Linked DNA regions of Daphnia pulex. The protein of the gene in region 1 interacts with the protein of each later gene in a biochemical or structural test. Links are inferred from orthologs where the notes say so. Each region holds a gene or a part of one and is shown on either strand. Other genes may lie near its edges.

Evidence for each region.
Region 2: the proteins of DDB1- and CUL4-associated factor 11-like (region 1) and histone RNA hairpin-binding protein-like form a complex in vitro, tested with the Homo sapiens proteins (2 studies listed by BioGRID, with this or other methods). The link is inferred for Daphnia pulex from reciprocal best matches to the Homo sapiens genes DCAF11 and SLBP.

The regions. Positions count from the first base shown.
Region 1 is NC_060025.1:8,379,695-8,383,621, forward strand, and holds the start of DDB1- and CUL4-associated factor 11-like, read left to right. Parts: upstream 1-1,329; 5' UTR 1,330-1,437; intron 1,438-1,492; 5' UTR 1,493-1,495; coding exon 1,496-1,819; intron 1,820-1,882; coding exon 1,883-2,144; intron 2,145-2,209; coding exon 2,210-2,356; intron 2,357-2,422; coding exon 2,423-2,604; intron 2,605-2,667; coding exon 2,668-2,906; intron 2,907-2,972; coding exon 2,973-3,076; intron 3,077-3,139; coding exon 3,140-3,295; intron 3,296-3,362; coding exon 3,363-3,469; intron 3,470-3,533; coding exon 3,534-3,815; 3' UTR 3,816-3,927. Other genes in the region: glutamate [NMDA] receptor subunit 1-like, read left to right, coding at 45-167, 227-378, 458-692. UniProt on the Homo sapiens protein: May function as a substrate receptor for CUL4-DDB1 E3 ubiquitin-protein ligase complex.
Region 2 is NC_060020.1:3,614,466-3,618,160, forward strand, and holds histone RNA hairpin-binding protein-like, read left to right. Parts: upstream 1-1,223; 5' UTR 1,224-2,060; coding exon 2,061-2,176; intron 2,177-2,250; coding exon 2,251-2,586; intron 2,587-2,654; coding exon 2,655-2,883; 3' UTR 2,884-3,118; downstream 3,119-3,695. Other genes in the region: lysine-specific demethylase 6A-like, read right to left, coding at 137-245, 308-455, 517-583, 645-733; uncharacterized protein LOC124192277, read right to left, coding at 3,133-3,453, 3,524-3,664. UniProt on the Homo sapiens protein: RNA-binding protein involved in the histone pre-mRNA processing.

The DNA.
Region 1 (3,927 bases):
ATTTTCTAAATCAAATCCTCATAAGCTGTTCCTGGATTCACTAGAAGGCGACATCCGGTATTTATAAGGTTCTTGGGGATGAAGCCCGACGTAATCCTAATCAAATAGTTGACAATCCTTTCAAGTTGACCGCAACACTGGAAACTGGACGCTACGCTTATCCTTATGTAAGTGTATAAAGACAGAGATTAACATGATCAATTTTTGAACTTTTCTGTTTCATTAGCTGCACTCTTTATGCTATGCCTTTGTCTGTTCTCAATATGAGAAAGACGGGATGTGTCGCTTTAAATTATCGAAACTTTTGCCCGTTTCCATTGGATTTACGTCTTTGTTTTTTAAAAAAGGAAGTTTGTTTACTAAAGATATGGACAAAGGGTATGTAACCATTTTAAACACCCTAAATTTTTACATCTTGATTTTTTATTTATTTATTTCAATCCTAATATATTTACAGACTTATGGAACTGTGGGAGAGTGGACTTGTCCGTTTATGGATTAATAATATTCATTCTACTCCCAAGGCGAAACAGTGTTTTGCCGATACGAAACGTGGAGTCACCCGCGTAGTCCCCATTCAACTGTCGGACTTAATTAGCGCTTTCTTTATCCTTGCTATCGGTATTGGATTGGCGACGCTGAGTTTCTTACTGGAAATAATCCTATCAACATTACGTCGAGAGAGGCTTTAGTTAATTTAAGCATTTATTGCAGCAGGTATGTGCTGCACTACATCAATAGGGCACGTTGTGTAGTTTCTAATAATAGTCTTTTCGTCTAATAATATCCTCTTTTATATATTTATATATACGTCTTAAACAACCTTTACCGAATTTTAATCCGTTTTTACTTCTCCTCCTGGGGCATGCGAACGTTTTTAGCTTAGTCTTGTAACTCCTGATACGAATTAACTAACTAGCAGTTGATTTGCTAGAATACACATTTGTTTAAAAGTTTGATTGTCTCAAGAAATTTTATTGGTTGCTACAGTGACTAAAAGAGGCAAATTTAATGCTGCCCAACGGTAGGTCGGTAGGTAATGAGGAAAGACAGGATAAAGTTTATTACACGTGAAGCTCAAGTTATCGTCGTAATTCAGTAATTGTAATGGAAATAATTTTGAAATCGTAATAAAAGGCCTAGCTTCTAAGATATGACAACGAAAATCACTTGATTGCAATCCTGAAAAATTTGGTTGGTATGAATTTGGTTCATGCGTTGGTTTTTATCAGAGAAAAAGAAAATGAGGAAGAAAAGGCTCAATTTCAAATTTTGGCGGTAATTTTTTCTCAAAGGTTTAGAATTTCAACACTAGATGTCGTTTGCGTAAAGCTTTTTATCAAACATTTGCTGTCGTCTGCCTAGTTGCGTGACATTTTTTATCGGGTTAACTAACTTTGTTATTGAATAAACGGTGAGACAACAATCTACCTTCAAGTAAGAAGCCGAATCACAGCACGTTATACGTTTACTGATTTAATTGTCCCAACAGAAAATGAACTCTGACGATGAAGACAGAGACAGCAGTAACAGAGATACTTCATCGATGTCGGACGAAGATTCTGATACCGACATAGCCACAGTTCTTACCCAGCTCATCAGGAGGTTAGTTAGTTATCCCTTCATGATAGTAGAGTGGCTTGCAGATCATCTTAATATTCAACAATTCTTTCCCTTTCTGGGAAACCACAGTGGCCGAGCTCACATTCTTTCAGAAAGAAACTCAGTATTTGAAGAAAGAAACGAGTCTTTCTTTGATTTCCTTCCAAATGCCCAACCACCCCCTGTTGACAGCACACCTGATTTAACTGTTCTTGAGGTAAAATGAGTTTGTTTAGACATAACAAGAAGGTACCTCTTTTTAATACCAGTTTTTCTCTAGGGGACTGATTTGTACTTATCAACATCTCTATCATCAGGAATCTACAAGCACGGTTGCAAATCCCATTCCACTCGTGTGACATCACTACTGTACCAGCGTCAAGTAGGGATGAAGGGTACAGGGCATTTTTCTGGTGGAGACAGGAGCTATATTGGCCACAACTATTTGCCTAACAAATTCAAACAAGTTGCCAACTGCAATCACAAAATGTTTTGCGGGACATATTCTAAAGATGGCAATATTTTCCTCAGCGCTTCACAAGGTATTACAATTGACTTTGTGTTGCGCAAGAAAAGATTTAATCTTTGCTTTTCTTCAAATTCATAGATCGAGTTATCCGTGTGTTTGACACATCAAAAGGCGGATTTGATTGCATAAGGAAAATCCCCGCCCGAGATGTCGGATGGAGTATTCTAGACACAGCGTTCAGTCCTGATGGACGTTCCATCATTTATTCTAGTTGGTCGGAAGCCAGTAAGTACCTTGAAACATAATTCGACTTAGTAAAAATGTTGTTAATGCGTTTGGTTCCATTTTCAGTCCACCTTTGTAACATTTACGATGAGGTGGAAAGACATGAAGTTCTCCCACTTTCCCCGGAACTCCGACGGTTTTGTATTTTCAGCCTTACTTTTTCTCAAGACGGAAATGAAGTATTGGGTGGTGCCAATGACGGCTGTTTGTACATTTACGATTGCGAAAAACGACAGAGAACGCTCAGGGTAAAATTACTATTTTGTTTCGTACCCACCAACAGTCCTTAATTAACCTCCCATCTTGTTTAGATTGATGCCCACGAAGAGGACGTGAATACTGTGGCCTATGCTGACGAAACTTCGCAGATCCTATTTTCTGGAGCGGATGATGGATTATGCAAAGTTTGGGATCGTCGAACGTTGGCGGAAAACGGAGAGGCTAAACCGGTGGGCATTCTTGGTGGCCATGTTGACGGACTTACGTTCGTCGACTCGCGTGGAGATGGCAGACATTTGATTACAAATAGCAAGGACCAATCCATCAAGCTGTAATCTCAATACTTGTTTTATCTATCGTAAAAAAAAAAACATTTAAAAAATGTGCGATTAATTAGATGGGACATGCGCAAATTCTCAGGAAACGAAGTTCAACAAAAGACTAGAATGCTTATGAACGCCCAAAGTTGGGATTATAGTTTCCAAAACGTTCCGTGGAGGCGTAAGTTAACTTTTTGTTATTGTTTATGTTTAAAATCTCAACTGAATTATTATTCTTTGGCAGTGGCTTCTCCCAAAAACAAGATCGCCGGTGATACTAGTTTGATGACATACCGCGGACACAGTGTCTTAAGAACTTTAATCCGATGCCGTTTCAGTCCAGCATTTAGCACTGGGCAACGATATATTTACAGTGGTTGTGCAGCTGGAAAAATTTTCAGTGAGACCCCAATAACCTAGTATTATCAATCTAAACCAATTTAATTTTTAAATATTTGCAATTTTAGTTTATGATGTCCTGACTGGAAAGCCTGCAGCGATTCTGACTGGTCATTCTGAATGTGTTCGGGACGTCTCTTGGCATCCATACTCCATGGATATTATCGATTCAGCGGTATGAAATATTATTTCTAATTTTTCTCTATGAATTCCCAAAGTTTAATCAACCGGGGTAATAGTGGGACGGCCGACACTTCAAGTGGTTCCATTCCTCAGCCGATTCCGAGGACGAAATGGATTTGGACACGGAAGAGTACATTACCGACAGCGAATCCAACGATTCCAATCCTAATTGGATGCAGAGGCAGCGCCGCTCATATCGAGATGACGACGCGGCTGATGGCGGAGGTGATCGCGAAGTGCGTAGGAGTCCACGACTGGCCGCTCGAGCAACTCCACAGACGGCCCGGAGAACGTCACAGAGGCAGCGACAAGCAGCCAGCCGCCGCCCTCTTTCATAAGTCTTGTCCGCACCATATATCCTTTAATACAACACACTTGTTTCGAAACACTTCATAACTACAAAAAAAAAACGCAACGCAGTCATTTGTTTCAATTCTGTGTACAGTTATT
Region 2 (3,695 bases), on another chromosome or scaffold:
CACGCTTTCTGTGAGGCAGAATCGTAACTAATATCGGCGTGACCGCGTGAAACTGTTGAGGAGGGATAGGTACACTGCACCCAAGCACCCGTACAACTGTTTGAATATTTTACTAACTATGATGCTCTATACTCACCAATTGAAAGAATTAAAGTGGAAGTAAACGAGTCCTAGGCCATAAAGATAGTTGGTATCTCTCCAGTGGTCAGCTCTTAGAGAGCGGAATTTCTGGTAGGCTGACATTGCTGCATGGAAATGAAAAGTTGGCATACAGAGAATTACAATGCAGTAATTGAACAAAATAAACCTTTTGGGTAGTCTTCAATGAGAATGTTAAAATGGCCCAATTTGCAGTAGGTTTTTGGATCAATATTGATTCCCTTCTCTGGGCTATCTGATTCATTTTTTAGCTGTTGGTGAGCTTGACTCAGCATCCGTTCCAAATACTGAATTGCCTATAATTCATCATAGTTGAGATTTTTCAATTACAAAGAATATGAACTTAATCTTACAAACCTTCACTACTAAAACTTTCTTTGCAGCATGTTCAGGATTGTTGAGTTGCAGGAAACCATACTGACGGCTGAAACAAAGTAACGGTGTGAAAAAAACAACACAGATTTTTTTAATACAATGCAATATACCTATCAAGTTCTGATAAAATTTGAAGCTCCTGTGGAGTCAAGTTGATATCTACAGTATCTTTATCTTGTTGCGTTTGTGTCATCTTCATTGACAACCTCGAAATCGGGCAAGGGTAATTCAATCCAAATTTTCAAAACGAAACGCCTATCGTTAGCGTCGATCGGTGAGCAAATGAGCTACAACTTGAAGAAAAGTTCTTCGATTTTTATCCACAAAATATTAACTCCTTTCCATCAGATAAAAACTTTTGGCATCAATCTTGATTTAAAACACAAAAATATCATCATAGTTTTTATAAAAAGTTATTATTTTTTTTTGCAATGACAGCCAAAACAGACACAAGCCTAATGCAGGGTTGCCTCTGTATAAAGTGTAAAAGTGTAATTTCTAAAATTGAACATCCTTATTCATTTAGGATTTGTTTGGTGCATTCGTTCAAACTGGATAGTTAATTTTTTAAATGGAAGTACTATTTTTTTATTGGGTATAGGTTATATTTCTTGATAATTTAAGATGCTGTGGCACTTGTGGAGTTGTGGGTGGTTGTGGCCTTGTATGTATGCTGCATGATATGGGAATTTGAGATATTCTAATTTCTAATTTCCGACGGGTTATCGTTTCAAATGCCTTTTTGCTCGTGCGGCTTGATTATAAATCTAATTAAAAGTATAATTATCTTAGATGTACATGTATAATCTTGCCTAACTATAAGGTGTTGAGAAATGAGAAGTGATGGATATGTAGTTATGTATACTTGTTTTTTGTACCCTAGTTCGGGCGAGCTCCCGGCTCCGGGAATAAGTCTCATCCGGCCGTATGATCTTTCGTTGACCTTGCGAATATTAGAAATGCGAAATGCCTATTTTTAAGCAATAGAGACTGCTTTCTTATCGTCTTTAACATCTACCAGGGTTTTAATTTCAGATGTTTTGCAAGGAAACTTAGCAACATTTTGGAAGTCCATGGCCTTATTAACCTGGCCACAGATAAAGACCACGTCGTCTTTATCTATGACCTGGCCTTATGGGAGTTATGGCCATGGATGGACATTTTGTAAAATAAAAATAACACTAGAAATGGATCGGGGATTCGGGGTTATAGATGTATTTAAAATATTTATAAACTTATTCTGGTTATATTAGCACTATGTTAGCACTCTGGCTGGCATGCAGCTGAATGGAGCTGGTTAGCAACGCAGTTTGTAATCCATGTTTAATGTGGTTAGAAGTTGCTTCTAATTCAAATGGCGCGAGAAAACCCACCCCCCGCTTTATTTTCACCCGAGGCCGAGACAACAAAGTCAACAACTACGTGAACTGAATCACTGTTTGCTCTTTTAGAGTGTAAAAAGTAAAAACATTGTATTTTGTTGGGTTTTAATACTTATTTTTCTATAAGAAATTACTGAGCTTACAATGAGTCCAAGAAAAGCTGTTAAAACAGAAAAAAATTCTGATGGTGAAGAAACTGTGTCTGAAAAGACTCATCCTAGCACTCGTATGCTACGAAAACGCGAATGGGATTCTGCCAGGTATAAATGCTTGCTCATTAAATAAATTATCAGTTCCTGAAGAAACTAACCATATTTATTTTTTGTGGCTAAAGCATTATAAGTCCAGAGAGGGGTCCAGCTCAGAGGAAAGAAATCAAACGAGAAAACATGCAATTGAAGCGCTCTCTGACAACTTCTTATGCCCAAACAGAAAAGAAAAATTTGATTAAGACAGAAAAACAGTCATCTTCTGCTTTGGCGGAGTTAAAAACTGCAGTCAAAGATGAGAAAACTGAGGTTGAGGTTGAAGACACAAGTGACAGGAGCTCAACTATTTCCTCCAATGGTGAAGTTGAAGAAGATCCCCTAGTTCTGTCTCGAAGACAGAAACAAATTGATTATGGGAAGAATACCATTGCCTATGACAATTATCTCAAAACTGTACCCAAGTCAGTATTTTAAAGTTACATGTGCAAATCCAAACATTTCATACTAAACTTACAGAAATTTTCCATAGAAATAAAAGAACCAAGGAACACCCCCAAACCCCTAACAAGTACAAAAAGTACAGCCGAAGGGGCTGGGATGGATCCATTAAAGTGTGGAGGAAAATGTTGCATGTCTTTGACACATCTGATGCCAGTAACCCAAAGGAGAAAGAAAATGCAGCTGCTGCAGATAAAGATGTCGAAGACGTCCTTGATTACCTCCCTTTCGACCTAATCGACGACGACGTTGTTTTATAAACATGTTGTCTACACTCTTCATCATCGAATTTTATGTGAAATCTTGCGCCCGTTTATATTGCACTATTAAGAGTGACAAGCAGGTCTTAGTGTTAATTACTTTTGACAACTTCTTTTTTTTTTTTCTTAAGTTCGGCTGCCTAAAGAGCCTCTAATTCTTCGATAATTTTGTTCAACGATCTTCACCGTCTGTACCGTGAAATATGCACCTAATTAAACATGTTCGTCATATGCATTAGCATGTACCATTTATTTGTTACTTGTTTTCAGGTCTAATAGCATTGAGATCATTTTTGAATTGTCTTCCTCCATTCGTTTCTCTAGGCGGCCAAGTCGTTCCTCAATTCTGGCCATCATGCGTTCTTCCATCTCCTTAATTTTCTTGTCTATTATCATCTCGATACTGTCAACATTTTTCCCATCTTGATTGAATCCTTGCATTATTGAGGACAGCAAATGATTAGCGCCAGCAGATTGCCCCGAGAGAGATCGCATTGAAGGGGTAGCTTCCACCGTCACTGCAGAGATCCCATACACCCATACAGTTGTTGCTTCCTTTAGTTTGCAAAACTAAATAAGATGGGGGATATTTAAAATGGATTCAGACAACCTGGCAACCATAGTGTGAAATAGGAACAACCTTCAGAATTATTTCTGACTGCATCTTCTTCAGATCTATTCTGCATTCATACAAAGAAGTGCCTTCTACTTCTTCCAGAAGTTCCCCTCTCACTGTCATCAGATATTCTTCATACTGCCCATGTACTTCTATCATGGGAACCTTGAATTAATTAATTAATCAAAAGAATAAT